2 linked regions of the Arabidopsis thaliana genome follow. The protein of the gene in region 1 interacts with the protein of each later gene in a biochemical or structural test. Each region holds a gene or a part of one and is shown on either strand. Other genes may lie near its edges. The genes, in order: PCNA2 and RAD5.

What was found.
Region 2: of the proteins of PCNA2 (region 1) and RAD5, one has a biochemical effect on the other in vitro, tested with the Arabidopsis thaliana proteins (one study listed by BioGRID).

Annotation. Positions count from the first base shown.
Region 1 is NC_003071.7:12,642,156-12,656,998, reverse strand, and holds PCNA2 (proliferating cell nuclear antigen 2), read left to right. Parts: upstream 1-5,245; 5' UTR 5,246-5,400; coding exon 5,401-5,719; intron 5,720-6,207; coding exon 6,208-6,360; intron 6,361-6,443; coding exon 6,444-6,541; intron 6,542-6,635; coding exon 6,636-6,860; 3' UTR 6,861-7,093; downstream 7,094-14,843. Other genes in the region: AT2G29600 (Galactose oxidase/kelch repeat superfamily protein), read right to left, coding at 91-1,338; AT2G29590 (Thioesterase superfamily protein), read left to right, coding at 1,567-1,758, 2,011-2,151, 2,254-2,397; MAC5B (CCCH-type zinc fingerfamily protein with RNA-binding domain-containing protein), read right to left, coding at 2,841-3,693, 3,875-4,098, 4,219-4,488, 4,884-4,988; ENOC (cytosolic enolase), read right to left, coding at 7,305-7,376, 7,732-7,929, 8,036-8,122, 8,292-8,377, 8,478-8,576, 8,802-8,905, 9,027-9,103, 9,204-9,284 and 5 more; TUB7 (tubulin beta-7 chain), read left to right, coding at 11,067-11,460, 11,646-11,915, 12,056-12,741; RPC14 (RNApolymerase 14 kDa subunit), read right to left, coding at 13,171-13,361, 13,483-13,711; TIM10 (Tim10/DDP family zinc finger protein), read left to right, coding at 14,756-14,794. UniProt on the Arabidopsis thaliana protein: This protein is an auxiliary protein of DNA polymerase delta and is involved in the control of eukaryotic DNA replication by increasing the polymerase's processibility during elongation of the leading strand. May be involved in UV resistance.
Region 2 is NC_003076.8:7,559,184-7,577,871, forward strand, and holds RAD5 (DNA/RNA helicase protein), read right to left. Parts: upstream 11,927-18,688; 5' UTR 11,689-11,926; coding exon 11,152-11,688; intron 11,069-11,151; coding exon 10,935-11,068; intron 10,846-10,934; coding exon 10,710-10,845; intron 10,569-10,709; coding exon 10,515-10,568; intron 10,429-10,514; coding exon 10,282-10,428; intron 10,196-10,281; coding exon 10,044-10,195; intron 9,968-10,043; coding exon 9,883-9,967; intron 9,773-9,882; coding exon 9,503-9,772; intron 9,387-9,502; coding exon 9,240-9,386; intron 9,133-9,239; coding exon 8,977-9,132; intron 8,603-8,976; coding exon 8,535-8,602; intron 8,442-8,534; coding exon 8,319-8,441; intron 8,210-8,318; coding exon 8,110-8,209; intron 8,028-8,109; coding exon 7,915-8,027; intron 7,687-7,914; coding exon 7,408-7,686; intron 7,297-7,407; coding exon 7,096-7,296; intron 7,013-7,095; coding exon 6,919-7,012; intron 6,825-6,918; coding exon 6,753-6,824; intron 6,550-6,752; coding exon 6,451-6,549; intron 6,314-6,450; and 3 more. Other genes in the region: CSLA02 (cellulose synthase-like A02), read right to left, coding at 1-33, 354-683; AT5G22760 (PHD finger family protein), read left to right, coding at 12,452-13,230, 13,611-14,318, 14,528-15,449, 15,647-15,926, 16,082-16,206, 16,296-16,765, 16,859-16,887, 16,992-17,474 and 1 more; AT5G22765 (uncharacterized protein), read right to left, coding at 18,619-18,688. UniProt on the Arabidopsis thaliana protein: Functions in error-free postreplication DNA repair or DNA-damage tolerance (DTT) pathway. Required for homologous recombination (HR) induced by DNA double-strand break (DSB) in somatic cells.

The sequences.
Region 1 (14,843 bases):
ACATCAGACTTGAGGCTCAAGAAAACGTCTGAAACATCATCATCACTCATCAAAGATTAATTAACATACCTTGCAACTGCAAACGAATCATCAAACCGTAACAGTTCGAGAAAGCACAAAGACAGGCGACTTGCGGAATTTATTCACAAGCGAGAGTGATTGGACCTTCCCCCAAATTTCACCATCTTCACGTCTCTCCAACGCCACCTCTACGCACCAAACATTTACTTCCCCGTAATAATCAAACCTAGCCTGGCTTTGATAACATCCCAAAATCATCAACTTCCCACCAAAATTCGTCATTCTAGACTCACTATAAACGAGGTTAGGCAAGTAATCAACACCCATGACAGGTCTCCAACCCATTTCTCTTGGATCATACACGACAATGGGAGTTACATGAAGGTGATCCGGAACAACGGCATACAACAAATTATCAACCACACAATACAACACCTGCCAGAAATACCCCAATTGATTTCCTGCAGGTCCCCAATCTTCCCATCTACGTCCTCTTAGATCGTAAGCCACACGATTGTTACCATCCAAAATGTAAATCTTATTATCCAAAACGAAATGAACATTAAACGGTGCTTTCGAACGACCATAGGGGGATAATACACTAGGCACATTTTCCCAAGTATTAGTCTCTACATTGAACACTTCGACCCAATCATCACTTCGTTTAGTGGAACCTCCCACCACGTAAATCATTCCGTCAATCACTGCAGAAGCTGCGTAGGAACGAGCCACTTGCATCTCCTGGAGATAGCGCCACGTATGGAATCTGCAGTCGATGACAAACACAGTCTTTGCGCGTCGATTCAAGCTTCTGAGTCCACCCATAACGTAAATCTTGTGTCCGATTGTGACGGTAGTGCATCCAGGAAACATGGGAGGAAGAGATGTGACTAAGCTCAATTGTAAAGAGGTATTGTTTCTCCGTTGGAGAATAAACCATCTTGGTTCTTCAAAATTTGGGGACGTGAACGTGATCAAGGTATAAAGAACCGGTTCCGTCGAGCCGATGAGCGAGCGAGTTTGGAAGAGATCCACCGAAGAGATTACTTGACGAAAGGAGTCAGAGAGGAGAGATAGCGTCGGGTAATGACATCTCCGGAGAGTCGCGATGGTGCTTACGATTAGTTCTAGTGGCATTTGTGGAGGAATCTGAGGAACATTCTCTACTTCTTCTTCTTGATGATCGTCTTCTTTCGGTTTCTCGTTTTGATTCTCTTCTTCTTTACCTTCTTGCGGGTTCTTGTGAGGTTCTTCGGGTTTCTGGTTTGGATCGCCGCCGTTAGAGCCGTCGTCGGAAGTTTCAGAGATAGAAGCCATCGCCGTGTGAGTGTGACGTTAGCAGCAACGAATTATCTAACTGAAAGTGAGAATGAATTTGATAGTTGAAAAAAATGCTCGTATTTATAGTACAGAGAACGACGGCGTAACGATTTGCTAAAATGGGGCCTTTAAGGCCCATAAAGTATCTGAAATATGAATTGAGTAATTTATTTATTTATCCAAAAAATAAAAATAAAATAAGAATTGAAAGAAATTAGAAAGACGATGATGGAGAAAATTATGGAGTATCTGCAATTGAGCGATGAGGTGGTTGACGACGGTGAGGCACCGCGAGTTGAAGAATTTTTAGGTGAAGGGAAAAGCTTCTACGAGAATTTTAGTCTCAGAGGAATCCGAGTCAACCGAGTCGAACCGGGTTTCATTTCCTGCTCTTTCAAGGTTCCTCTTCGTTTGACGGTAAGTCTTTCTCTCAATCCTCTAAGCCCCTTCTATTTTGATTAATTGTCGAATTAGCGTGATAGGTTTTTGGAAATAAGCTAATTTGAGGTTTAATGGCATTATTGTCAGATGTTTGAAGATGATAGTTCTCGGTGATACTATTAGTCTTTGGAAACTTGAGCAGAATCTAGAAGATGCTTGAACTTGATTGTGTCGTTTTTTTCTTTTATTGGAGACGATGTTGATATTTTAATGTTTTGATAATGTCAGGACAGAGACAAGAATTTAGCAAATGGTGCGATTGCAAATCTTGTGGATGAAGTTGGTGGAGCACTTGTACATGGCGAAGGCTTACCTATGAGTGTTTCAGTGGACATGTCTATTGCATTCCTTTCAAAAGCTAAGCTTGGTGTAAGTCTGCTCAAGTCTTTTTTCAATCTGTACTTTGGGACTGTTTGTTTGCTATAGAAATGGATTGAGAGATATGATATTGAAATGGAAATGAATTTTCAGGAGGAGTTGGAGATAACGTCGAGATTGTTAGGAGAGAGAGGAGGTTATAAAGGAACAATCGTTGTAGTCAGAAACAAGATGACCGGGGAGATTATAGCGGAAGGTCGACATTCTATGTTTGGTAGACAAGCTAGTAAGCTCTGAGTCCAACTTTTAAGTCTTGTATCACTGTAATGTCTGTTTTCAATAATAAGATTATGGTTAGGTAAATTTGGTTAGGTCCTTTGTTCTTTCTGGTTGTGAATCTAAAACCTTGGTACATAGCTTATAAAGATCAAACCATTCAGTAACTGTGATAGTTATGTTGATGAGGATGGTATGATATGTCTCATCTATACAACATTGAAAGCTGTTTAAAGAGGAATTTGAAGAAGCTTCAAGAGAATTTTGTTGTCTATGGTTTCAGCTTGGATTTAATGTGTATGTTGGATTATCAAAAATTCAAAATTATAATGTCAACAAGAGTCTACAACTACTGTAACAATTCTCTTCTCTTACATTGGAAACTAATTTTAAATAGCAGAAGCAAAAAGTCAAAATGTAGATATGGCCGGAAATTCGCACTACATTTTAACTGACAACGGTTCCTATTGAGACGAACCAGTAGTAACAGCAGCATCAGCAGATTGCTGAGAGGATCCTGAAGGTGCTGCAGACACAGAGTCAGGTGGTGGAGCAGAGACTGAACTTGGATGTGGAGGATTAGGCCTTGAACCGGGACCTGGTTGTTGTGGGTAATCATGATCAGCTTGTTGTGAATGGCCATGGTGGTAAGGAGGATACTGCTGGTAAGGTGGTTGCATATATCCTCCATATGATGGTGGCGGGTATGGCTGGTGCTGAGGATAGTGGCCATGTGGTGGCATAGTGTAAGAAGAAGAAGAAGCTCCTCTGTTGTCACTGGTGCTTGAACCGCTTTCTTTGGACGAACTAACTGCACCCATTCTCTGAGGGTCCATTGATGGGTAAAATGGTCTGTCTTGATGAGGAGGTTGTGGTGGTGGTGGGTGCATATAGTATTGTAGCATTGGTGGAGGTTGATTCTGTTGCTGAGATATAACTGCTCGAGGTAGTAAACCACTATGAGCCACACTGCCCTGTTGGTTAGAACCATCTTGATCAGGTTTGGGAACCTGAGGTCTTCCCCATGTGAGTTTTAGCCTCTGACCGTTGACAACTAGCCTGTTACTGAGCTCTTCTGCAGCTTTCTCTGCTCCTTCTCGGGTTGTGTAAGTGACAAACGCACATGCTTTCTCAGCCAAGATTCTGATGGATTCGATTTCTCCATGGGCGTAGAATTGATCACGAATGTCTTGCTCAAGGACTCTCGAGTTTAGCCCACCAACATAAAGCGTTCTGATGCTTTGATCCTCTGGAGATTCCAAAGTACCCATCTCCCCAGCCTTGCCAAGTAACTTCAACGCAACTGGATCGTTTACACTGCAGGAAGTGAAGAATAAGATGAGAAAACAGTTCCAATATCACCAAAATAACAGCCAGTTTACGCACACAAACTGATGTATTTTTCATAACTCTCTTTCATGATATACCAAAGCAAGAAATTGAGGAGTAACTCAATATTATCATACTCAAACAAAATGAAAGTTAGAAGTATGCTTACCCATAATAACGGTCTTTAATGTTCTGCTGGGATAACTCTCCTGTTTCAGGCATCTCATGACGGTATGGACACTCATCACCTCTTGTACACTCTCCCCTAATGAAGAAACTACAAATATGAGCTCGGTTCCTTTTGTAGTAAGGCGTTGTCCTTTGAAGCATACGAATGGTATCGTTGGGCCGAATCTTCCCAAAAGAAGACTCATAATCTAGTCCAGCTCTCGTCTACACAAGAAAACAAAACCATTTCAATAGGCCATTACAAAGTAGAGAAACTGTATAGCCAAATCTCAAACCAATCAATACTCAAATAATATAACTAGTTAGAACGCAGAGTCACCATACCTTTCGATCATGCTCTTCAGCGAAAAACTCTCGGTTCACATCACTTTTTGGGATAGAATCATGAGTACTAATGTTGAGCGCCGTGTCTCTGACCTGAACTGGAAGACCATACTCAAGATCCAAGAGACAAACTTGGCACACATTCTTCAACTTGCAACATGTCTGACAAACTTCAGTCTTCTTGTATCTCGCATCCCTACCAGGTCGCCATCTGAAAACCGTGAAAGGCCGGGTACAGATCTTACACTCTTTATCGTAATTCGCCTTTGTCTACATACCAAACAACAACAATAAATCAATCAATCAATCAAACATGAAGCTGCACATCACTACCAGACATAACATGAGACAGTATTCAATGAATTACATTCCCTCTAAGCAAATTTGATCAGAACAAACCAAAGATATCATTTTGAACTACAACTCCATGAATTCTGATTTTTACCAAAGGTTATGAATTGTATATTAAATCGCTTAAACCCTAAAATCTCAAATCACTAAAATTGCAGCTTCAACACTAAGAAACATAAAAGCATTAAACAAGCTCGAAAATGGACAAATGAAAGGAGATCTTAATAAAGACACATGAATGTTAAAAAAAAATCTAGCTAAAGGCAAGGAAATCGAATTTGTTTGAGGAGAAACATAGGAAGCGAAGAATATACCATTCTCACGTAAGGATTGTCACCGAGACAAGACTCACAGATGATTGGGAAATCAGAACGTTCCCATCCATCAGCCTCGTGATCTCTCAGTATTCTATGCGCCATTTCCTAATTCTCTTCCTTCCTCAATGATTTCTGGATTTCTTCTTCAGTCTCGAACACGAAGATTACCTTGAAGAGCAGATTTGCTCTCGTTTCGATTTTTTCGGGAATCTTTAATATTACAGCTGCTGTTGGGCCGAATGTTTGTTTGGCCCAATTTAAACCCATGAAATAAGAAAGCTTAAAGTGATGGTGGTGTACTGAAATAAACAATACGGACTCACACAGATGATAATTCATCGTCACACACAGGCGGGAACAAAAATACCCTAAAATCGCTAAATGGCGCCACAAAATCTCAGCTTATAATATCACTTCCCGCTAACAATTGCAATCTCCTCCCAGAAATTTCAACAGCTCTAAAAACCCTAACCGTTTCGATTCACACTCTAACCTTTCGATAATTTCCCAGAAGATGTTGGAGCTTCGTTTAGTTCAAGGTTCTCTACTGAAGAAGGTTCTAGAAGCGGTCAAAGATCTGGTGAACGATGCGAACTTCGACTGTTCGACCACAGGGTTCTCGCTTCAAGCTATGGATTCGAGCCATGTCGCGTTGGTGTCTCTTTTGCTTAGATCTGAAGGTTTCGAGCACTATAGATGCGATAGGAACCTCTCTATGGGAATGAATCTTGGTAATATGTCTAAGATGCTGAAATGTGCTGGAAATGATGATATCATCACCATCAAAGCTGATGATGGTAGCGACACTGTTACTTTCATGTTTGAGAGTCCCAGTAAGTTCTTCAAATCGATTTTTGTTTGTTAGGGCTTTGGTTTTGTTGTCAATGTTGATGCTATTGGTGACCTGATTCTGTGTTTATAGGTTTGATTTGCCAGAAGCTAGAATATGATTGTAGAGAATGATTCAGTCCATTTCTTGAAAGCTTTAGTTTGTAAGAGATGAAAGAGAAGATAAAATCTATGTTAATAGAGGGTTTTTGGTTTGGAATAAGGTTTGATATGGCTTTGTTTTTGTGTAGTTAATGATGTTATTAGTGATCTGAACTGTTATTTATAGGTTTCATTTGACAGAAACTAGAACTTGCTTGATGAGAATGAGTCCTTCCATTTTTGTTTTCAGAATAGGTATAGTCTCTAGCTTAAAGACTATAGTTTGAAAGTGAATAGAGTTTCTTGATTTAGTGAAAGTTAACAGAGGAACTTTGTTTGATATTGACTATGTGGTGTTAATCTCATTATTTAAATGGTGTTGATGATGCAGCACAAGACAAGATTGCAGATTTTGAGATGAAGCTGATGGATATCGACAGTGAGCATTTAGGAATTCCTGATGCTGAGTACCACTCGATTGTGAGAATGCCTTCTGGTGAATTTTCCAGGATATGCAAAGATCTCAGTAGCATTGGTGACACAGGTAAATGAACTGTTTGTTTATTTGGTGTATCACTGCGAGGATTCTCTAATCATGATTCTGGTTTTGATGTTATGATTTTGCAGTTGTGATCTCGGTAACAAAAGAAGGGGTGAAGTTTTCAACAGCAGGTGATATCGGGACAGCAAACATTGTGCTCAGGCAGAATACTACCGTCGACAAAGTATGAACAATCACTAGTCATCTAGAGAGATTTGTTTAATAATCTGTCCAATACAATGTTGAAGTGACCTTATGTTTGTATGTGTGTTTTGCAGCCTGAAGATGCTATTGTGATAGAGATGAACGAGCCTGTTTCGCTTTCATTTGCATTGAGGTACATGAACTCCTTCACAAAGGCTACTCCATTGTCGGAAACTGTGACCATCAGTTTGTCCTCTGAGTTACCGGTCGTGGTGGAGTACAAGGTGGCTGAGATGGGTTACATTCGATACTATCTGGCGCCTAAGATTGAAGAAGAAGAAGACACCAAACCAGAATAATGATGAATGTTTGATAGTCTTCGTTCGAGTCCTTTGTTGAAATGTCTGTCTTGATTCAGTTGTTTTCTGGATTTACTATCTTAAGGCAATGCTAAACTAGATAATCGTATGATGTTTGTCTTTCTGAAATTTGGAAAAGCTTGTTTATAACACTTTTCATCTGTTTGTTAAACATTGAAGAAAAAGAAGACACGAAGCCCTAAAACACGTTTGTTTGTGGCTTCTGCAACCTCACGAACTAGTGTTGATTGATGTTTTTGGATGCTTTTACAATTTGTAAAAAACATGTTTAACACTCTTTACTTCTGTTTGTTCTTAAATTTGGCAAAAACAACAAAAAATTTGAACTTTCAAGACACAAGAATTTGTCTGCGTGAGAAATAGACTCGAGAACAATGAAGTAAGACGAGAAGTGTAACAATTAATATCACATGTGCATTTTGTTTAGAGAGATAGCTTCCAATCTTCTCCAGCATACACTGCTTGATCCCCAAGCTCTTCCTCTATCCGTAGCAACTGCAGGAACATTTCAACAGTGATTCAGCTTTTTAATAAAGTAGTTTCTACAATGAAATGAGAACACTATCTAGCAACTAAATGTACATGGCTGCTCCAAACTCAATCATTATGGATCTATAAGCTGAGGCTGCATTAGCCAAAAGTTGAAGAAACTGAAACTTAGCCTAGGTTGCTAAAGATTCACATACCACAACATAACTCAGCTACTTAAAAGCTAAAAAGAAGCTGATGATAATCTGATGAAAGAGCTATGATCCAAAATTCCAATGCAGGTTACTCCACGTAATGTAGATTGTTCTAGTGTAATTGCATAAGGGGTACTGAGGATATTAGTTTGGAAAAAGATCCAGACCTGGTTATACTTCATAGTACGTTCTCCTCTGCAAGGAGCACCAGCTTTAATCACACCTGTTGCGAGACCCACAGATAAGTCAGAGATGAAAGAGTCCTCTGTTTCTCCACATCTATGAGATGTCACCACACCCCACTGGGCATCCCTTGCCATTTTCACTACTTCAATGGCTTCTGTTACTGTACCAATCTGATTCACCTGTATCACCGTATGCACATTATGTCTTTGTCGTTCTTAGGCAGTAAACATACAATATGTGCACAGGTAATACATAGTAATAAACAAAATAGGACGGACGAAATACCTTGAGAAGAAGAGCATTACAAGAAGACTCCTGTATGGCACGCTCAACTCGTTTTGAATTTGACATCAACAAATCGTCACCTACCACCTACAAGAGTTTAACACTGAGAATTTAGACAAGGAAAATGATTGTACAAGAAGATTTAAGGGTCTCTCTCTTTAGATATTTGACTCTGAGAAAAGAATCAGAAGACAGTGTGATCTGAAAGAACACAAAATCTATGTGAACCGTTAATAGTAGGGGAACCGAGTTGGACCTGACATATTCCAAGACTCGAAAAATACTTGGTGTGTTCCCAGTCCTCCTTGTCAAAAGGGTCTTCTATAGACACAATTGGATAATCTAAACCCACAAGGAGACCAAACAGAGAATCTGGTCGTTACAATACTGCAAGAGTACTAAGATAGACACAAAAAATATTGTTCAGACGAGCCAGACATACCATTACAAATTTCTTTGTACATATCTATCATATCTTCCGCTGACTTGAAATTTTGCCCAGATTTATTTGGAGACTTGATATCTAAATCATACTTGGTACCTGTTCAGGAAAGAACAGTTCCACAAGGTAAGAAATAATACACAAAAACGTATAACATAGTTGAAACTTGCAAGAGCAAGATATTGATAGGCTACACATTTGATGATTTAACATCTTATTCGTCTCACTAGCCAATTGTGAATGACAATGCCGAGAACCAAACCAAGACTATCCATGACTACAAGAAGCCGCAAAAAATCAGTTAGCCAGGAAGCAGAAAATTACCTAAACAAAAATTAGTGGCGGCAATATCAATGGCTATCTTTATCTTATCATTGTACCCTGTTCGGTTGATAGCTTCTTTTACAAGCTCCAAACCTTCCTTGAGGCTGCATACAGTTGCAATTACACATATTAGGCACTAAGCCATCAAACCATAACATGGTTTTCTCAGTTTCGACAATCTACAGATGCAAGCAGATTAGCATCAGAGAGGAAAAATATATGTACCTCGAGATATCTGGAGCAAGACCACCATCTTCACCAACATTACATCCCAAACCACCATTCTTTTCTGAAATGACAGCCTGCCATAAACAGCAATAGATCATTCTCACCTTATACACAAATTTACGGATGCAATTAGAAAGGTAACTTCTAGAAAGCCATATATCTTTGAAAATTGACCTTTAAATGATGATATGTCTCAGATCCCCATTGCAGGGCCTCCTCAAATCTACTTGCTCCAATTGGGAGAATCATAATTTCCTAAACAAATTATGAAAACACAACAATCATTACATATGTAAATGAAATTACTTGAAAACCAAAAGATTTCTTGAAGAACTTTGAGAAACAGAAACGTTAATAGTGAACTTAATGTAGAATACCTGAATGGCAAAAGTATTCGAAGCATGCTTCCCACCACTCAAAACAGTGAACGCAGGTACAGGTAACACCATGTTTGCTCTGCCACTAAGATCAGAAAGATGCTTGCACAAAGGGACCTGATAATAACTTCAATCAAAATCTCCTAACTAAAGTAGGCATAAAATACATAGGATAAGAGAAAATGTTATCATTCATACCTCTTTCTCAGCAGCTCCAGCCTTGCATGCCGCAATTGACACAGCAAGTATAGCATTAGCACCAAGTTCACTCTGCAAGATATTCAAATCAAATTAATCATGAGGAGCAATGATATATGAACTTGTTACAATCCTAATAAAAGTTCCCACCTACCTTCTTTTCAGTTTTATCCAAATCTATCATAGCCTGATCTATCTGACCCTGAAGTTTTGGGTCCATACCAATCAACGCCTCAGAAATTTTTTCATTTATGTTCTTAACAGCTTTAGCCACACTGTTTCCAAGATACATTCCTTTGTCTCCATCACGTAGCTCAATAGCTTCATACCTTGAGAATCAGTAAACCAATCTCCTCATGTCAGGCTTATCATATTAGAGAATTGTATATCAATCAGAGTAAGAATAATTCTCACGTTCCAGAAGAATCACCACTGGGAACAGAAGCACGAAAAACGCCTTTGTTCGTGTGCAGATCAACTTCAACTGTTGGAATTCCTCTGCTGTCAAGGATCTGTCGTGCTTTAACCTTCGTTATCACAGATGATACAGCTTTCTTCAGATGATTAGCCTGCACTTTTCCAATTGAAGATTCAATGAGTAATGTAACATAATTTCACTTCGATACATGTAAATCAAAATTCGAAGGAAACTTACGATGAAGAGAACGGGATCTGAGGTTTTAGCCCTTACGGCGGCATTAACGGCGTCTTCGATTTTCCGAGAAAGCATATGCTTGTCTAAATACTCTTGCACAGACATCTTCTTCTTCTTCCTCTTCCACGGACTTCTCGATTCGAATCTTCAAGCAAAATTTCGATGAACAAGTTTGAATCTGAAATTCATTTTCCGATTGACTGTATTTTTTGGTTCACGCTCCGGTTCAGGCTCCGGTTCAGGATCCAATAAGCATATTCAATCATTAAAACGATGAGTTTCACTTTACAAACACATGCTTGCCGTCTGAGGATTTTGCTAGTGCACATCACTCCGTTTTAAGTCATGCAGATTTGAAATGAAAAGAGTAAAAGCCCATTTTAGGCCCAATAAGAAGTCTCTCACGTGCGATTGCCAGGTTGGAACCGCTTTTTTATCTCTCATAAAGCACGTGCGAGTGCGACGATGTTTTAGTAACTGCTCTCCTTAATGGAATCCAGCTGTCATTCACACGAACATATTTTTTTACGAAATTCAAAAAAACTTTTTATCACGAGCCATTAATTTTTGAATTTTGCCACCCGTTGCCACCTCGATTTACGTGGCATTATCTAAACCGTCGATTCGATTTCGAATTACCAAATATTAGCCGTTAAAACCTCCTTTTCTTTATAAATGGACCCTCCTCTTCTTCTCTCTCTCATAAAACAAAAGATCCTCTCTGCTTCTCCTTTCCCTTTTTCAAAATCTCTCTCTCTCTCTCTCTTTTTAGATCCAGTTTTAGGGTTTTCTTCTCTGTGAGCGAAGATGCGTGAGATTCTTCATATTCAAGGAGGTCAATGCGGAAACCAAATCGGTTCCAAGTTTTGGGAAGTGGTTAATCTCGAGCACGGGATTGATCAGACGGGACGGTATGTAGGAGATTCCGAGTTACAGCTTGAGAGGGTTAATGTATACTACAACGAGGCGAGTTGTGGAAGGTACGTTCCTCGCGCTGTTCTCATGGATTTGGAGCCTGGAACCATGGACAGTGTCAGATCTGGTCCGTACGGTCAGATCTTTCGACCGGATAACTTCGTCTTCGGTCAGTCCGGTGCTGGGAATAACTGGGCTAAAGGTCACTACACTGAAGGTGCTGAGCTTATTGATTCGGTCCTTGATGTTGTTCGCAAAGAGGCTGAGAACTGTGACTGCCTTCAAGGTATTTGAAATCCGTCTTCCTTATTTAGGTTTTTGTCTATTTAGGTTTTTGGATCTGTAAATTTAGGTTGGGTATTGGTAGTGTATGATTGTTTTTAGGTTTAGATTTCTGATTTTGAACTGTGGAATACGGATTCGGTTTTGTATTCGTTGTTTGCTTATGGTTTTGGTTGTTTGGATTTACAGGATTTCAGGTGTGCCATTCCTTGGGAGGAGGAACTGGTTCTGGAATGGGAACTTTGTTGATATCTAAGATCAGGGAGGAGTACCCAGACCGTATGATGATGACTTTCTCTGTGTTCCCATCGCCTAAGGTGTCTGACACTGTTGTGGAGCCTTACAACGCAACACTATCTGTGCACCAGCTTGTTGAGAACGCTGATGAGTGTATGGTTCTTGACAACGAAGCTTTGTATGACATTTGCTTCCGTACACTCAAGCTTAGCACTCCAAGTTGTAAGTATTCCAATGTTCTTCGATTATGAGTCAATGTTGTTACTGTATCTGTCTCTGTGGTTTATTGTTTCAGGCTTAGTTATTGATTAGTATTGAAACTTCACTCACATATTTTTTTGTTTGTTTTCTGAATTGTGCAGTTGGTGATCTGAACCACTTGATCTCTGCAACCATGTCTGGTGTAACCTGCTGTCTTAGGTTCCCTGGTCAACTGAACTCTGATCTGCGAAAGCTAGCTGTGAATCTGATCCCATTCCCTCGTCTCCACTTCTTCATGGTGGGATTTGCTCCTCTCACCTCTCGTGGATCTCAGCAGTACCGTAACCTCACTGTCCCAGAGCTCACTCAGCAAATGTGGGATGCTAAGAACATGATGTGTGCTGCTGACCCAAGACACGGTCGCTACCTCACTGCTTCAGCCATGTTCCGTGGAAAGATGAGCACCAAGGAGGTCGATGAACAGATGCTGAACGTACAGAACAAGAACTCCTCCTACTTTGTGGAATGGATCCCTAACAACGTCAAATCAACCGTCTGTGACATTCCCCCTACTGGTCTGAAGATGGCTTCAACGTTCATTGGTAACTCAACTTCGATCCAAGAGATGTTCAGGCGTGTCAGTGAGCAATTCACTGCTATGTTCAGGAGAAAGGCTTTCTTGCATTGGTACACAGGTGAAGGTATGGATGAGATGGAGTTCACTGAAGCTGAAAGCAACATGAACGATCTTGTCTCTGAGTATCAGCAGTATCAAGATGCAACGGCTGATGAAGAAGGAGAATATGAAGAGGAAGAAGCTGAGTACGAGCAAGAAGAAACTTATTGAAGAAACAGATGATAAGAACACCTCAACTTCCAGTTGCTGTTTACTTTTAAAACTCTCTTCTATTAAGTTCTTATAGTTTCTGTAACTATCGCTTGCGTTATTAGTAGTTATGATACTCTGCGTAGGCTAAGAGGATTTATCAATCAATATTCAAACAATCTATTTTGCTAAATCAAAATCCATCCATAGTATTTTTTTTCTTTGTTTCATTATATAACCTTTTGTTAATTTTGACTATGTGAATTCGGTGAAGACTTCACCATCTTTCAAATATAAGAAGCAGAGTAGTAGTGACAATGGTTATAAGCAATATAAGAATCTTCTTGGTTAAATTTTGGTGTGGATTATGAATTTGACGAGTCAATTTGAAGGACGAATCTGGATTTAAGATAAAAATAGTATAAACTCCATAGGAGAATACAATGGTTATCAGTTGTTTTCAATGTCCATGGACCCAAATAGATCCCTCTGCCTCTTAAGCTCTTCTTCTTCAGCCTCCTCCTTACGCTTTTGTTCATCCTTATACTCAGCAACAGCCTTATCAAAAACGCTTCTCACATGTCTGTTCATTTGCATGAGCTCTTGACATGCATCTTTAAAAACCTCTCTTGCTGGATCACCTAAAAGCCACAGAGCCAACACGTTTTATGTTGTTAGACACACAGACAAAGAACTCGGATAAGAGTTATCCAAAAAGAACATAGCTTAACTCTGATGAACAGAGTTTTTGAAAAACAGTACCTGTTGTCTGGACCCGGATATTGACCTGTTCAAGGGAAGGATGTGGGATGGTGTATGCAGCCACGGTTACTCTGGGACTGCAGAATTGAAAACAGTACTGGTTATTGACATAATCATCATTGTCTACACACCAGCATATCAACTCCATCAACCTCAAAGATAAGATAATGTGACATTCATTGAATACAATGAGAATCTCTAACAACATAACATGAATGTAAACCAACATTTAATCGAACTCTCAAGTTTCACAATCACAATATAATGGCGAACTTAATGGACCAAACTCATCCAACGAAAGATATCGGAACAATAATGCCTCGTCACTGCTGTCTCTATCTAAGAGCTAATTCTAGACTATCTTTTCTAGTCTCTAACCACAGAACATGAATCTGAATCGAACTCAACCTTCACAATCACCTTATAATGGCACAAACATACAATGTGCACACTGATTATTCAAACAAAATTTGATTATCTTCACAATAATTCTAACCAAAAACAAAGGTAAAGACAGGTAAGAGATTCATTCCTAATGAGGGAAACTATGAACTCAATAATCAGAATTTGAGAGTGTCACGAACTAAGTATGAGATTATAAAGCTAAAGCCTTTCTCTGTGAAAGTGTATAGCTTCTTCTATATATATACATAACAGATTCAAAAGGATTGAAAGAAGAAGATACTTACTCTTGGTTTAAGACGAATCTAACAGCATTAGCAAGTGTGTGATCTTCTTCCGATAAAGTAAACGAAGCATGACTAACATTCGTGAACGAACCGTGCTCCATATCTCACCTTCTTGCTACTCAATTCCTTAACTCAAAATCAAAAATCCACCACCAACTAGAAAACACAGAAAGAGAACGACTTCAATTGAAAGCTTTGAATAGCTAAACAAACCCACAAAGAAAAACTCGAAATTGAAGAAAATTTCAGCAAAAAAAGTTGAGAGAGTAAGAAAGAAGATACCTCCAATAGAAATTTGCTAAAACCCTAAAAGCTTGATTAGTCGGCGACTTTTAGTCGTGGAGAAGCTCAGATACTTTAGCGTAATTACATCTATACCCTTTCGTTTGATGACGTGGCGTGTAATGTCTCTTAAACCCTAATTCGGCTGTGTAGCAAAAGAGAAGCCTTTGTTGTGTTCTTTACCTCTCTTCACGAAATCCCATTTGAGAAAGTAAGGATTTATGATCTTCAAATTCAAGTATGAATTATAAAGTTTCGATTTTTACGAATCATTAATTTTGTATTCAGGTACTGCTAAAAAAATGGCTTCTCCTATTCCCGTCGGCGTTACTAAGGAACAGGTTCGGTTTATTTGCTCGTCCTTTATTGTTAATACATCGTAAAGCTCCG
Region 2 (18,688 bases), on another chromosome or scaffold:
TCCACACGCCGCTCCTATTGATAGCTTATAAACCTGCACGGCAAAAATCACGGGGAAGCAAAAGAAATCTCTTTGTCAAACTTTTTCACTTTTAGTCCACTAATTAATGATTTACTACGAGTTAACCCCTAAACTATAGGTTTAATCATAAAAACCCAAAATCACAGAGAACAATAAATAAATATGCGTCACGACTCTCGCCGTTTCGGGATTTGGAACGGCGGAGGAATATGAATACGTGGGGAAAAGTTATCTTCCGTAAAATCTGAGATTACTTTTCTCGAAAAACTTATAACTTTAACGAGAAACAGAGAAAAACAGAGGAAAAACAGAGCAATGAACAGAGAACCGACCTCTCGTTCGTTGAACATGGGGATTTGTACGAGGACGACGGGGAAATTGGAGCTACCAAGCTCTTCATCATCGTGAATGGGCTCGAACTTGTAACGTTTGTCTGGTTTTTTCCAGAAGAGTTTGACGAGGACGATGACGATTCCCATGTAAACCCTCTCACATAAAAGCATGACAGACATAAGCAAACAGATGTAAACAGCTAATTGAAGAAGAGGGACAATCACTGGTGCTTTTACAAGCTCCCAGATCATGCCTAGTTGGCCTGTGATCTCCATCCTCACGCCGTCGAATGTCTCCGGCAACACAAACTTTGGTGATACACCGTCCATTTTTCCTTCTCTCTTCTCTTCTCTTAGAGTGTAACAATGGTTGGTGTGTTTCTCTCTCTACGATGAGGTTTTGGTGTAATGGGTTTATGAGATGAGGCAGAGAGAGAGAGATTGCCTTGAGAAAAATGGAGGCTTTTCTCTCTCTACAGTTCTAAAGAGAGAGGAAACTTAGGAAGAGAGAGAGCCAGAAGGAGAAATGTGGTTTAAGGGAGAAGAGGAAGAGAAGGATAAACGAGGAATATAAATGGTGATAATTTTGTTTTTTTACTTTATTTTATTTATTTGTAAGATTGTTTTCCTTTTTTTGATTGATTTTTTATTTAGATTTTTTAGAGAGTAATAAAGGTTAAAAGGAAATAAAAGGAAGAAAGAAAGAAAAAATACATTTGGTTTGTTTGTGTCTTTATGAGATTCTATTTTTTCAGTTAATGAAATTTCTGGTAAAAAACAACAGAGGAGATTTTGGTTTTTCAGTTTCTGTGTTTTGTTATTTCAGAATCTGTGCCTGCCCAATGGGAAGAGAAGGGAGAGAGATATAGATTTCTAATGAATTTATTATCCTAATGATATCCTTTTATACACAGTTGAATAATGATTAGTGATTAGTGATTTTATGCGTTTTTTTTTAACTTTTTACCATTTATGGGATTTTGGATTTTGCAGCTTTTTATAACAATTTACTTATTATAGGTCAACTTTCTAGAACTCATTTTGTCAACCTTGTGAATTCACTTTAACTCCTTTTTTTTTTTTGGGATTAGTCAATTTACTCTCATGAAAATAATTTTAAGTTTGATCATCCTTTTTTTGGGATTAGTCAACTTTTTTTGGTTAAGTTTAGATCATTGTTTTTCTTACAAAAATAAATGAAAGTAATTTTAAGTTTGATTTGTACCTATAAAAAAAAAAGAATTAACATCATATGAAACAACATGTTACTAGATCTATCATATAAATCTATATCTTACATATAGATATAGATTTTCATCTTAGACATAAAAATTCATATATATATATATATAAAATGCCGTTTATCCATAGGTGTTAATAAAATCATCAAAACACAATACATTGTTATTAGAATATTGGTGTGGTATCTTTTCTTAATATTTCAATACTTTAATTAGGAAAATACATATGTTTGATGAGAGAAAGATCAACCTCAACGGGAGAAAAACATTAGACTTATCCAAATTTGTATACTTTATAACTGATTTGGATCCCATATGTGGCACAATTTGGTTGGTGAATGTCTTTGTATTAGACATAATTAATTTCTTTATAAAACAATTTGACACATTTTTTCAAACATTTGAATTTTTAGACTCTCTATTTTGGATCTACCATTGGACATACTTTAAATATAGATCTCTTTCAAATGTCTAAATTGTAAATTTATTTTTATTAAAATGATAAAGCTTGTTTGGATCCTTATTTTTGGATCTATTGTTGTGGATGCTCTAAGGCAGAACACAATCTAATATACTCTTTAGCAATGATAAATGTGTTTAGGAGATGGAATGGTAGTGGTTCAAACCCTTTTGGGAGGAGAAGTATTTCTAAAAGAAAAGGACTAAATAGTGGCGTCGGACCTAGGAAGAATAAGGTCGAAGCCCAAATTCGCAATAAAAGAAAAAAAAAATCTATATACGTATAGTGTTTATCATAACATGCATGAGTGCAGACTGCAGACCAAGTTGCCAGTTTCCATGGATCGGATATTGCCAGTTGCACCCCATACTAGTATTATTTTGAGCGTTCTGATATTTTACTTAGGTTTGTGTATTTTTTGTATGCATTTGAGTATAGAGTTATTTGCTGTTATGATATTTTATCTACCAAAATAATCCTACTTGATTATATACCGTTGTTGAATTGACGAATTTTCAGTACCCATAATGAAAAAAATACAATGTTGAGGAAGTCTTTAATGTCACTGGTTTAAGTACCGACATAATGTTGACGTATTAACATGGAGTGGTCTTTTATGTGAAAAAAAAATCCGAGATTCAATTAAAAGTTAAGACTTCTTGGTTATTCAGAGAAAAACCATGAATATAAAGTTACATTTTCTCTATTCATTTAGAGCGATTTACAACTTTAAAAGATACAAAAAATGCTCGTTCTTTTAATATTGAACAAGTTTTCGAAAGAGTTTAGAAAACAATACAAAAACGTTTCTGTAAAAGAGAAACCAATCTGTTTTTTTTTTTTTTTGAGTGCAACCAATCTAGCTTTACATACATTAAAAATAATATATACATTGAGAATTCGTCTATGATATTTAATGTTTAAGTGAGAGTTATATTTCTATAAATAATAATAAGACATTGCTTTGACTAGAAGGCCTTGCGCTGCCACAACTACGAGCAATTATGAAGGGTTAGGTTCGTCCAAAGTGGTATCATGGTTCGTAATTACATAAGTAGCCTCACTATAGTTACCTTGTGTCTTTTAATCGGACTATTACTCCACTTTTTCAGGTGATGCTTCAACTGTTTTCACGATAAAGTTGTGTCATTAATTTTTTTTGCTTCTTTTATCTCAGAAAAGACATATAACACGAAATTTGTTCGATAGGATGATTTTAAAAGTGGCTCAGCAAGGCAACAATCTCGTGTTTGAGTGATGACTAGGATAAGTTGGTTCTTAAAATTTTCATTTCTTTTCTGTAGATATAATCTTAGAAGTAAGGTCATGTCTACGTTAATTAGCTAAATGATTCTTTAGTTTTATGTATGAAATTTTGGAAATTAGCATGCGTAACTGACTTTCTTTTACATGACTTTTGACCATTTCTAGTTACGCGAATTTAATATTCAACACTACATACTATACTACAAAAATTTAACAGTGTCAGCCATATGCACCATAAAAATTCACCTTACATTATATCTTGATCTTGACCTTTCGACCTTGAATTTGACCAAGCCTTTAAAACCTATAATTTGTTCATGGATATTTTGGTTCGAAGTTACTAACTCCTGGATGTAAAAAGAGGGTTACTAATACTAACTCCTTGATCGGCCATGAAGAAGATAATATTAGGTATATACATATATTTAATTTACACCAACCACCACAATGAGAAAGTACATAGCATTAACATAAATGGTGATGTAGACAAATCTAACATAATTCGTATAGTCTATACAGTTTATAAAGAAACTAATTTGGTCTCTGGTTAAACTTATTGTATACTAGATTGGATTTATTAGGAGTGTAGCGAGTGTTAAATGGGCTAAACCTATTTTGCAAACAGGGTAATACTGTTTGAAAATTCTAATTAATGCTCTAGCGGCCAATGATTGTGGTTTTAGCAAAGATATAGGAGCTTAACATTTCATTTTTTTTCTTAGTTCGAAAAGAAAAAAACTATTAATGAATAATTAGTTTTCATAGAAAGTGGGCGTTAATCCTACTTACTAAATTGATACTTTGATACTGTAAAAAAATGTTTATATATCTTCACTTTAAACTCTAGTGTTACTTTACAGAAACCGGGTATTGAATTATTGATAGTACGTCGTCTATGTGATCAAACTCGTTTTGAGGACATTCCCTCAAAGTTCTACAAAAGCATATTGTGCAAGCCGAAACTTTGGACTTGACTTTTTTAAATGAAATTGATATCGAAAACATATTATCTTTTCCCCGAGATTGAGCCAAATAATGAAATAACTAAAACAAACAATAATCCCCTGCGTTAATCATGTCGAATGTGGATTATCATCACTATTAACTAACTATTCATTGGGGTTTAAAAGTTAATTCATAAGAGATAGACAAAGAAAAGGGAGTCAAAAATCGAAGAAAACAGAAATCGTTATAAGTTTCTGTTTGTTTGTAAAGTAAATAATAATATAGTTCAGTTTATAAAATATCAACTTTTACCTTTTTAACGTTGCAAATGGCAAACCTTCCATAGATTCATGACGATGTGTTAGTTCAAACATAAGCAAATTAACTCCTCTTTTGTGTCCGAAAGCTCCTCAATCTAAGGACATATGTTTGTATGCAGATTGCAGATAATGTTATTTTCTTACTTCAAGAAATTAAGGTTTCTTTGACAAATAAGTGTAATGGCGACATATAACATAGAATATTAATTTTGTCGTCTCGTGTCGACGACATATCGATCTGTTACTTTAAGATTTTCTTCCGATTTAAGCTCATATATATACATATTATTGTCTATATATAAGAATTTAAAATTTACACATAATTTCAAGACAGTTTAAGAAATCGTTTTAACATGCATCCGGTTCATAAATTTTACACAAGTTTAAATTATACTATACAAAATATTACTTGGAAAAAATGTACATTACTGTATATCGTATTATTCGACAACAACCAAAAAAAATCCTAATCTCTCTAGTGGAAAAATCAAATTGACTTCGCTTTTGCTTTCAAGTTGATTTATTTTATTTTTGTTTGTATTAGGACACTATAATAGAATATGTTTGAAAATCTAAACCAATTCATTATTCATCACTATACGTCTTTCCTTTTCCTCCTCCATTCAAGGCCTTGATTAGTGAAAATCTGAACCAATTCATCACTATACGTCTTTTACTTTTCTAGGTGATTTATCCACGCATTAATACTTGGAATTGTTTTGATTAGCCTCACGTAAATTTTAGTTTTCAATGCGGAATAATAAACAAACCTCTCATTTTAGCTATAATATTAGTTTTAGTGTGATCAAGCCACATATAAAACATATTGGATTAGTTTAGTAGTGGTTCAGGTTGATGTTTATTGGATGGGTAAGTTATGACTCAATTACTTGTGTAGTGTACAGATGGTTTTTAGATATTTTAGAGACTAAATAACACTCACATACACGTTGTTACCTAACTTGAGAACAAATCGTTACCCTAGAAGCAGAGAATTTAGCAGCCGATCCATTTGTGTCTGTGGATATTGGTTTTAGTACAATAATTGACACGTTATACGACTTCAAATCAATCACTTCGTAATTTTGTATCGAAGATGACAAAGCCACGGTATCATAAAATTTGCAATAAAAGTCCCTAAAATCTGTTATAAATCAGTATAGTTTCTAACAGTACAAAGTATAAAGACTCCTAATATTTTATCTTAACAAAGGAAAAGAAGATCACAGGAACATGTTATGTAAAAGTGTCACATTTTCTAGATTTTTAAAGTAATCCTTAAGCCTTTTCACTGTGCAAATTTGTCATATTGAGTTAACTATATAATAGTATAAAGTTACAGTTCATTATAAATGAAAAAGTACAAAAAACAATCTGATTTCCATTACAAAACAACAAAACCCAGATAGGCTTATGGTACACTTGGGAACTCTCACTGCACATTCCCCAAAACTGTGACAATTGTCCATCATATCTCTTGAAAAGAACAAAACCCGTTTTTAGATGCGTTATAATCTCTGATTCTCCTTGCATATAGTGTGACAAGTTTCCCATATATGTAGAATTGTATGATCGACTTCAGGCTTGAGAACAGTTTCTATAGTTTCAGGTAAATAACATCTTGAGTTCCTCTATACGTGCACTTCGTACTTCTTGATCGGTTAAAGCCCCAGAGATCATTCTCTGCTTCCTCGCCTGAACCGCCTCCATTCTCTCTTCAACCGTTCCCTAGGATTCACAAAGGCAAGACATACAAGTTTCTAATGATCATTACTCAGCAACAACATTTTCTGATTTTGGAATAGTTTCAGTGATTGGTCTTTATATGGTTAATGGGGACTAACTGCTGAGAAAGAAGAGGGTACCTTAACGATGAATCTTCTGATTTTGACTTCCTTAGTTTGCCCTATACGATGAATACGCATAACAGCTTGTTCCTCTACCGCTGGGTTCCACCATGGATCCTATAGGACATAACTTGGTTTTCTTTACAACTGAAACTTCTTTAAAACCTATTTTGTATTGTGCAGTACTCATTCACAAGCTTTTGAAACAAAAGGTGGCATGAACTACTACTCGATTTTCATATTTTGGATGAGCTATTACATGGTCTAAATCCTATAGAAACTGATATGATCTTTCATAGATATCTATAGATATTCCATACCATGACAAAAGCATTGGACGCAGCTGTTAGATTTATCCCAACGCCACCAGCTTTTAGAGACATCAACAGTACCTATCCAACAATTGAAAAGGAGACTTTTTAACTTCAATTTCGAAACTAGAAAGTATAAGTATTGAACATTGCAATGTAATGCGACTGCACCAACCAGGATACTGCCATCTTCGGAAAATTCTTTAAGGACCTTCTCTCGTTGCTGCTGACTTAGCGTGCCATCAAGACGGACAAATGAAAAGTTATTCCTGGAGATAAAATTGTGCTATAATTTAGATTCTTAAAAACAATTTATTCTCATAACTACCATAGCAAGCCAACAATGGTATACCGAGAGAGGGGAATTTGGAGGAGATCGAGGAAAGCGGTCCACTGGCTAAAGAGAATGCTCTTAGAGCCTGAAGAACGAAGACCTTCAAGCTCTTCCAGAAGAGCAGTGATTTTCGATGATTCCACCCAATTCTTTTCCACGTCAACCTGGAATCTACTTTCGGTTGGTGCTGTGATGAGTTCTTGTTTGCTTACAGTGTTCCTGAAAAAAACGATTCATCATTCATTATTTGCCAAATTAGACCTTACTCAGACACTCATTGGAATCAACAACAGAAGAAAACTAGTAATCGCAGGAACAACTTCAAGATACCTACACACAGGACATAACCCAGAAGTAGAATTTCTCCAACTTGCCAAGAGACACTCACGACATAATCTATGAGCACATGGCGTTAATACAGCATCCTCAAGTGCTTCAAGGCATATTGGACACTCTCCTTGCTCTCCTTTGCGCAGTTCCTCTACCACCTCCTGAACAAAAGCCTCTGACGGTACATCTTTTCCTTCCCTTTCTAAGCCAGAAGACTTTCCACTAAGGAAACGTTTAGAAAGCTTATTCAGATCAGAGTATTCCGCTGTATCCCCTCGACTGGATGCAAGAAAAACAAGAGACTGTTATAAGAAATATGGCAATTGCGTCAACAAAATGTCAAACAGAAACAAGGGCTACGGATGCATGTTTCTTATACCAAATTGCCATTATCTACGATATGTTATTGGATATTTTATACAACGTCATGCAACAGATTAAGTAGCCATGGAAGTTAAACCCAGCAATGTGTATCTATACTAAATAAAAAGCCAGTAAAAGCCACACCTCATTACTAAAAATGGGTGATCACAACATTGTCGAAGACGCAAAAGCAGTTCCAGGATCGAAGCATAGTTATGAAGAACTTTGCCTTGTTCAACAAATTGATCAAATTTGACCTGAAAAAGATCCGTCAGCATCTTCAGTATAAGGCATCTTAATAACTAAAGTTCGAGTAAATAATCCTAAGGAAAACAATACCTTGGATCTTTTAAATAGCGCGTCGTAGAAATCCCTCTCAGACTCCGAAAGTTCACAGTAAATGACCCGTGCATCAGCAGGGGGTAGAACAAGAATCGGCCTAAAATAAACAAACAAGCTTCAAATTAACCGAGGAAACTCAAAGGAAAATATTATGTTTTATAAGCACAGGAAGTTATACAGTAATCTATTATTTGTAGTATTCCTACCTTCCTTCTCGGTCTGTGCTAGACTTTGTTCTCCTAAGCATGATAGGTTTTAAGATAGACTGCACTAGCTTTAACCCTCTCTCATCACCCTCTTCAAATGGCTTTTGGACAAGTTTATTCCACCTAAGAATAAAATATGTTCCAAATTAAAAAGCTTCAAGTAATTCCATACCAAACGTTATGTGTTTCCAACCAAAGATAGATAAGGACCCTTACCATGCCCAAGTTCCCCATGGTTCAATCCTCAAAAACCGTAGAAGGCTGTATAAATCCTCCAGATTGTTCTGTCAATAAGATAACATGTGAAATGATCACAAAGTTCCAAATAGGACAAAAAATTACTATTCACCATCCATTTGAATGAACCAAGATATCATGCCAGCAGACATATGGATACCAAAATTGCAAGCCATATGAAATAAATCTTCAAAGACAACTTTGTGAGATAAAGTCGAGACTTGTGTACAATAAATCATGCACAACAAGTTGATATCCTTCTAACAGAGATTTAGACCATTCGAAACTCAGGTGAATAACAAATGTCCAACTACTAAAATTCTTCCATAGATAGAATGGCAGTGTCCTAATAAAGTTTGGTCTATAGGACGGTCAAGAACAAAGATTTTCTTTCTAAACCCTAGACAAAAAGACCAATCACCTGAATAGGAGTACCCGTAAGACACCAACGCCTATCAGCAACCAGAGCTGCAGCAGCCAAGGAAATTTGGCTTTTTGAGTTTTTGATGGTATGTGCCTCGTCAAGAACAATCCTAAACCATCGAACTGCATAAATTCCTTCATGGTCTGCTGAGTTCTAAGAAGAAGAAAAACGAGAGAAGATAAGAAAATGTTCATGTGATGCTTTTATAAACTATATACATGGAATAATCCATGACCCGAAGACTCTTGTATGAAAGATACCTCTTGCGAGAATTCGGATGTTAGAACTCCATATGTGGTGATTACCACATCACTCTGGGAAAGAAGTTTTGCATCCTTCGGCCTGCTTTGCCCATAGTGAACATAGACAGATAGAGACCCAGGCTTTGCATGCATTTCAATCTCTGTCTGATCATAAAGCAGGAGCAAGAAAATATTAGCTGACACAAGGAAAGACAAAGAACAATTAACAACTTTGACGGATAACCAAACTATAGTGTGCACGTGCATTAAGCATGGAATACCTTCCACTGTCCTAAAAGTGTCATCGGACATACAATCAGGTTACCACCATTTTGAAGTACACTTTTTTGTTCAAGAAGCCTCTTATCAAAGCCTAGAAATTTGGTTGCCTTCACCGGGGGACTAGTGAGATCATCTACAGAACTGCTGATCACTTTGTCTCCTTCATAGTTGGGGCATAGAAACCCAGTTGATGCAGCTTTCCAAGAATGGGCAAGCAAAAGGGATATGGTCATTACAGTCTTTCCAAGACCCATTGCGTCTGCTAATATCTACAAAAGTTTTAGGATATAATATTATTACAAAACAGCTATATAATAAAGTGACAAAATCTAAACAATAAATGAAAGAAATTTTTATAGGTGGGGTATTGAGATCATACTCCTCCTCTTGCCATTTGAAGTGTGCTAGGGAAGTGTATTGTAGCATCACCAGTAAAAGAATTCAGGTAGACAACCAGTTCCCTCCTATTGACATAAAACAGATAGTAAATATCTTATCTGACTCGCACTAAAGTTCGAAGGCAATAGAAATATCACTCACTTGTCTGCTAAACAGTATGCTTCCCAACACGGGTGAAGCATTGTTGCTGCCTCATCAGTGCAATTTCCTTTCTCCAGTTGGGTCATCCAATGAAGTGCCTGCTTTTGGTATGGACGAAGCTCACACAGAAGTGTATGTGGAGTTTCCATTTCCTGTTGCAAAAATTTTCATGCAATTTTCCAAAGGAAATTTCCAGTGTTGGATATAAGTAAGCAAGAAGTCTTGAAAATGAGAATACCTTTAATCCAGAACTGTCCCCAACACCAACAATGTTATCAAGATCACCATCGCTGATACACTGCTCATTTTCATCTCCGTTTGCATCTTGATTCATATTCTTGACCTTGTTTAATTGAAGCAACGAAGTAGGAATAGCAGAACCATCCTATTTCCATAGGGCAGAGAGCAAATGACAAATTTTACAGGCAAGAAGTCAAATTTTAAGATGCTAATATAATAAGTAATATTTACCTTGGAACTCAAAGGTCGCTTCTTAGAGTAAAAATCCTCTGGAGTAAACTCTGCCTAAATATGATGAAGAATGGAAAAATTTCTTCGTCATCTCAAGATTATTCAGTCACATCATATGAGAAGTATATGGGAACTACAAACTGCAATCTATAAAAGAATCCGCATATCAAGTTATAGGCAAGGAATAACCATTACCTTCTTAAAGGGGATCAAACCGAGTAACCGAAAGAGATTTGGGAGAGGATGGAACATTGATTCCTCTGCCGTATTACTAGCTGTCTTAAATGAAGTCGCACTATGCTTTTGAAACATGGAACTATTAATGTACACGCTGTTTCAAAAACAAACTCACACCACTTCAAACACTAATGCATCTATCCTGAAATTGTAAACGGGAACACAAAAGTTTTGTATGCATACCTTACAGACAGAAGAATTGTATCCATGATGCTCAAAGCTTCAGGCGCCGACTTGCAACTGCCTTCTATCCTAATTTTCTTGTCTCTCACAAGTGGTAGAAGACACCGAGCCCACTCGTTTGGTATTCTACCAATCTACCACAAGAGCCCATCATAGTTAGTTAACAATTCCCATCTAACAAACTTAACATAGCAAATAAAAAAGATGTGAAACACACCTCTCCTGAATCCTTTGTAGAGAACCTAACGATATCAGAAGCACCACGCAAAGCTGGCCTTCCCCGCCCAAAACCGCGCTTCCCAGGCGTAGTCTCAGGCTTTAATCCTTTACTATGCGGAAACGTGAACACCAATTCATCACCAGACTTCAATTTCCTTCCTTTACATGTCGATAACCCAGCCAATTCAGAACAACCAACAAACCACCACTCATTCCCTGAAACACTCTCTTCTCCTCCACCATTAACACTCTCATTTTCTTCCTCCACGCGATGATTCGCTCCAACACTTCCGCTGTCACCAAAAGTACAGCCCTTTAATCCACTATCAACTCGCTTCCCTCCATTAGAGCCGCTCGGGGTAGGAGTGGCTACATCAGGTTTGGCGAAACTTGGAGTGTCGAAGATTATATTGATAGCAGCCGTTGGATCATGATTCGCCATGTGTAAAGCCCTGATTATATCCATATCTGAGTAATCGGAACCCACGACTGATCTGACGGTGGAAACAAGATCGTCTGAGACTTTCGTTCCCATTTCCAAAACCCTAATCCTACAATTTTCCAGGGAAATTTTGAAACTTTACTGAAAATTCAGTGAGCTTGTGGCTAAAGAACGCCGGAAAAAGAAAACCCCAATGTAGTACAGTGGCGAATTATAGAAATTGAAGTAGATCGACGACGACGGCGTACGAAATCTGCCGGACCCGAGAAACGCGCGTAAATTAGCGACGAGTCTCTCAAATTCCCGCCATTATATTGTTTTTTTTATTCAAGTGATGAAAATAGAAAGGTAAATTCAAAAACGGTGACGTTTTAAAATCCCTAACGGGTCTAGATCCGGGTAACCCGCATCCCGAGTTGAACTCAGTTTAACAATTAGACCACAAAAATCTGCCATTAACTCAGAAGTGAGAAGTGTAGTAGAACCATTCGACACGATTGAAAAAGCTCATCTTTTTTATTTCTATGTCTCTCTCTTTTGGTTACGTAAGCTCTCTGTCCATATGCTTCATTGATGGTGGTGGTTATCAAAATCTAGCAAGGTTTTAGCTTCAATTCTGTCCATATGTTTATCCATTTCCAAGCTCAGACGTGAAAAGATTTCAGATTTATCGCTGGATCACGGCTTTGATTTCTTTTGCTTCAGCTTTGAATTTGATTTCTTTTGCTTCAGATTTATCGGTGGATCTTAGATTTTGATGTGGGTATATGGTTCGATTTTATAAAAAGAAGTTAGATTTTTGGAATCATAGAAAGGGATAAACGAGAATTGAAATCTGGGGATTGATTTGGATCTGATGGAAGGAAAGGTGGCTAAACCTAGAGGTAGACCAAGGAAACGCCCCAGACCAGAGGATCTTAATGGGGTATCTAATCGAGGGAAGAGGCCGGTTTTCGAGGTGAAAGTGGCTGTACCTAGATCTCTTCTTGGTCGTTATGTGTTGAAAGATGTTGATGACAGTGGAGTTTTTCTTGGGAAGATAGTTTCTTACAATACTGGGTTGTACAGAGTTGAATATGAGGATGGTGATTTTGAGGATTTGGAAACTTGTTATCTTCGCCAGTTAATTATTGGGGATAGTTACTTTGATGATGAATTACGTGCTAGAAGGAGTAAATTAGACGACTTTATTCTGAAGAAGGACGAAAAGAAGAAAACAGATTGCCTGAAGAACAAAGGAGTTGAGGTGCCCACATGTAATAGCCCAAGTTCTGTGGCAGAAGTTGAAAGTGGTTATTCATCTTGTGGTTTGCCTGAGTGTGAAGATGACATAGATCCAGATTTCGAAAGTATGTCTCCTCTTGTTCCACCAGTGGAGTTGCCTTCTTCATCAGGAACAATTGGTATCCCTGAGGAGGCTGTGGTGTATCTATTATCTGTATATGGGTTCTTAAGATCATTCAGTGTTCAGTTATATATCTGCCCATTTGGATTGGATGATTTTGTGGGAGCTTTAAATTTTTTAGGACCTAATTCTTTGTTGGATGCCGTTCATGTTGCCTTGATGCGGGCACTGAAAGGTCATCTTGAGAGACTCTCCTCAGAAGGGTCTGAAGTGGCTTCAAAATGCTTGAGGTAAGCACATACAACTCTTGTCATTTACAGTTTTCAACAGATATTTCTTTGTTTCTTCTTGGAGATGTTTCTAGTTAACTTTCATATATTCCGAGTTATTTCTGTGAAACAGTAAAATTAATTTGTTGGATATCTGAATTTCAAGGAAGCAGAACTGCTGACATTATTTTTCAAGCTAGTAAAAATATACATTGTTATCTTATGTATGCATACATGCAACAAACCTTTTATAACAGCTGGGAGAAAAAGGCCTATGGCTGTACAGGGACTGCAATATAAGCCTCTTATTCATAGTTTAGGTGAAACTTGTTTTAGGTCTCCCATTATCCCATATTTTAGTGGATAACAATTCGGGGGTTTTGTTGCATTGCCATCTGCAGGTGCATTGATTGGAGCTTGCTCGATGCGCTAACTTGGCCTGTTTATTTGGTTCAGTACTTTGCTGCCATGGGACATGCAAGTGGGCCTCTCTGGAGATTTTTTAATGAATTTGTTGTGGAGAAAGAATATTGCTCGTCACCTGTAGTAATGAAGTTGAAGATCCTGCAAATTCTGTGTGATGACGTCTTTGATGTAGCAGATTTAAGAGCTGAAATTGATAACAGAGAAGAATCTGAAGTTGGATTTGATACTGATGGAGTAACTGCTGAACTTCCTGAAAATGGACCTAGAAGGGTCCACCCCAGATTTGCTAAAACCTCAGCTTCCAAGGAGAAAGAGCTTAGTGAATTTGTTGCAGTGAACCATGGGATAAGTTCATTGAGCGACTCAAAAAATTGGAGTTCAAGATACACTGATGGTGGTCCTAATGGAGATAGCCCAGATCTGGATGCAAACAGTGATGAATGTAGGCTCTGTGGCATGGATGGAACGTTGCTGTGTTGTGATGGATGCCCTTTAGCATATCATTCAAGATGCATTGGTGTGGTCAAAATGTATATACCAGATGGGCCGTGGTATTGTCCAGAATGCACTATAAAAAAAATGGGGCCAACTGTTGTTTATAAAACGTCACTCAGGGGAGCAGTGTATTTTGGAGTGGATCCACATGGGCGACTCTTTTTGGGTACATGCAATCTCTTACTGGTGTATGTTTTCGACGCCTTATTTCATTTCAGATACTTTGCTTTTCAAATTTATGGAAATAGAGTTGATCTCTCAGTTCTATATCTCACGGAAAGTTGTTTTTGCACTTTATACTTTAATAATTCTCACTCATCAGCTTGTCTAGATTTTACTTATATTGCATGTATTATTTTTTGTGTGGATGCTGATGAATATTTCGCTTATATCACAGGCTTAAAATTAATGTCCATGCGGATGCAGATATCAAATATTACAATGTCACCGACATTCCAAAAGTTGTCCTGGTACTTTTGTCTGCAACGAACCATAGACTGGAATATCTGTATATATGCAAAGCGATCTCACAATACTGGGATCTGCCTGGAGGTGTGATCTCTTATCTGAGAACAGTGGAGACTGATTTATCTCACATGCAAAAAGAAGGGGGCGACGAGGTGTCTGACATAGGTGAGCCAGATAGTGCAAATAGTTCCAGTGGAAATCTTATTCAAAATGCGGTTAGGCTCCACCCATCTGCCTCAGGCTATACTGGTGGTCCTGTTTTAGCAAGATCAAGTGGAGCGCAAGAGAAGAATTTGGTTGCAGTCAGTACACAGAAGGGTTTATCATTTAAACCTCATTCTTACATTAATCATTACACAAATGGAGAATTGGCTGCATCAGCTGCTGCTACTTTGGCTATCCTAATGTCAGAGGAAACCCATGAACCTGATCTACACAAATTTAGTAATGCCAAGAAAGCTGCATCAAGTAACATCTTGCTACAGATGAAAGCATTTTCGATAGTAGCCTCGAGTTTCTTCTGGCCAAGTCCTGATAAGAAGGAAATTACCAGAGAAAGGTGTGGATGGTGTCATTCTTGCAAACTCACATCAGCAAGTAGGAGAGGATGCATGTTAAATGCAGCTGTAACAGGGGCCACCAAGAGTGCTATGAAAATCTACAGTGGCCTTTTTCCTCTAAAGAACGGGGAGGGGGTACTTTCTAGGATCGCAGCATATGCCCTATATCTCGAGGAAAGCTTACGTGGTCTCATTGCGGGGCCATTTCTTAGTGAGAGTCTTAGGTACCAGTGGCGTAAGAAGTTAGAGGAAGCTTCAACATGCAAAGCGATGAAAGCCCTCCTGCTTGAAGTAAGTAAAACTTTTTCATTCTAAAACTGTTCGGTTCTTATTCACGTTTTTTTGCTATTAAAAATAATTGTACTTTTTCTTGTCATTTGCACTGTTCAGATTTGATGTTGTCAACTATATATAGTGATATCTTTGGTTTGTCACTATATGTATCGTGTTTTCATTGGCATGATATGGTTCATTTTGCTTGTTCACAGCTTGAGGAAAATATTTGCAGTATTGCTCTGTCAAGCGACTGGCTTAAACTAATGGACGATTGGTTGATAGAACTTTCTATCTTTCAAAGCGCTCCAGTTACTGTTGGGGCCACACAGAAACGTAGACCTGGTAGGAGGAAGCAGAGGAACCAGGCTGAAAATACGGCCCAAGGTTCTGATGATGATAGCTTTACTTGGTGGCGAGGGGGGAAGTTATCAAAAATTATACTCCTCAAGGCAGTCTTGTCGAAGCCTAAGATAAAGAAAGCAGCTTGGCAAGGTAAACCTGATTGGTTATGCTTTTTGCGCTTGTGAACAATTCTCACGTATGCATTCTTATAGTTTTTTCTTTTTTGATACTTCGACCGGAGATATCTTATTTGAGTTTTACTCTGGGGATAGTGCTAATTTGTTTTGTTTTTTTTATTCCATTAGGTGGTACGAAAAAGTTTCCTGAATTTAATTATGGTGATGGTTCTTACATTCCTAAAAGAAGCAGGCGGTCTATTTGGAAAGCCGCAGTTGAAAGTAGCAAAAACATTTCTCAGCTTGCTCTTCAGGTTTGTCTTCTATTATCAATGCTTATTCAAATGATTCTGTGTATATGATTGTTTTTTAATCCCCTGAAATTCAACTGAATTGGGGCCAGGTTAGATACCTGGATATGAATATAAGATGGAGTGAACTTGTACGCCCAGAGCAAAACGTGCAAGATGTTAAAGGTCCAGAGACAGAGGCCACTATTTTCAGGAACGCTAGTATTTGTGTCAAGAAGATTATAGATAACAAGGTTAGATACGGAGTTGTCTTTGGGAATCAAAAGCATCTTCCATCCCGTGTCATGAAGAATGTCATTGAAGTCGAGAAATCTGAAGATAGAAACGAAAAGTATTGGTTTCATGAAGCACGCGTTCCCTTATATTTGATCAAAGAATATGAAGAAAGTTTGCATAGGGTGGTACACATACCTTTTATCAAGAAGCCATCAAGAAAAATATCAAAGCTCCAGAAAAGGCAACTAAAAGCTTCTCGAGCAAACATATTTTCTTATCTAGCCTCTCGGAGGGACAACACGGAGAAGTGTTCTTGTGCATCATGCCATCTCGATGTTTTTTTGAGGTATTATTTTAGCTTTCTTCACCTTTCAAGATGCTTCTTAAAAAATCTGATGTAGCTCATTTATTTGTGTTCCCGTCCTCTACATGTCTATAGGGATTCAATAACATGCAGTACTTGCCAAGGTACACTACACTCGCTTGCTGATGGATTTGACAACATGGCAATATTACGTTTGCTTATTTGGGAATTTATCTGAATAATTGTGGATTTACTCTTTGCCTCTCAGGTTTCTGTCACAAGGAATGTACTATGAGTTCACAACACACAACTGGGCAGTTGGAAATTTTGGTAACCTGCAAACGGTGCTACCTTGCAAGAGCACGTTCACAAATCAATATCAATCACAGACAACCAACAACACCCAGTGTCCTGATCAACGGTCAACTTCAAAATGCAGCCACTTCAAACACGAAGACACAGATTAAGCGTCTTAATCAACAGTTACCATCTTCCAAAACAGGCGACAATGCTTCAGGAGTTAAACAAATCACTCCGGATTTCAATTTGGCACCGAAAAGTAAACACAAGACATTGTCTTGGGGAGTCATATGGAGGAAAAAGAACTTGGCAGACACAGGTGTTAGTTTCAGACATGAAAATGTTATGTTGGCTGGACGATCTGATCAGCCGAATCTGCAACCAGTTTGCTGGATCTGCAAATTGCCGTATAATCCTGGCCTAACATATATTCACTGTACAAGTTGTGACAGTAAGAAAATTTTTACTCACTCTAAATTCTATACTGAATTGTACATTTCGTCAATGCCACCATTTTGCTCTTATAATTCTAATCCTAGATCTCTATGCAGTGTGGTACCACATCGAAGCGGTCAAGCTCGAGGAGTCAAAAATTCCTGAAGTGGTTGGGTTCAAGTGTTGCAGATGTCGTCGTATACGATCACCAGATTGCCCTTACATGGATCCCAAACTCAAGGAACAGAAGCAGATGAAACAAGTATTCTTCAGGAGGCAGAAGCATGGGCAAGGAAATACCGGAATTGATTCGGATTCCGAAAGAATGTCTGAACCGAAAGACTCGTTGCCCTCTACTCCCTCATTTCTCTCTGAAGATACGTTTGTTCCAGAGGATGATCCTCTCTTGGTGTCAGTTTCAAAAGTCGAACAAATTACACCAAATAGTTTGGATGTGGAATGGAACGAGGATGGTTGTGTGCCAGGACCACAGAAGCTACAAGTGAGGAGACCAGTAAAACGTGAAGACACGGACGGGAATAATAATCTTTCTTATACCGAGTTTACAATGCATCCCGAATCAATGCCTGTTGTGAAACCAGAAATGGAGCCAACATTTCCTGTCATGGAATGGGATGCATCTGGCAATAGCAACAACATGAATGAAGGCGAGCTTATGTTTGACTACGAAGACATGGAATTCGAACCTCAAACATATTTCTCGCTGACCGAGTTGCTCACAACAGATGATAGTGGCCAGTGCGATGGATATGGAGATGACAAGGATGCTTCAGGAATCACGGATAACCCAAACCCTCAGGTTGAGGCAATGGAACAGTGCACGTCATTTCTCTATGAAAATACAATTCCATGTCAGATATGCAAGCATGTGGAGCCAGGACCTGACCTCACATGTCAGACTTGTAATATGACAATACATTCTCACTGTTCTCCATGGGAGGAGGAATCTACGTGCATAGGAGGTAGCTGGAGATGTGGTCGTTGCCGTGAGTGGCTGTAGCTGCCAACTTTTCTCCTGCCAAAGTTAAGGGGTTCCTCTCAATTCTTTTTTGTTTTTATAGGCTAGGCCCCATCTGTGCTGCTATGTTGGGGTTTTCAATGAAAGCAAAGAATATGTGTTGTCGATAGAAGAAGTAAAATTAAATTTGTATGAAGAATAATTTGATGTTCTCATTGCAATGGCAGAAGATAAGCTCGTTTTGTTCTTGT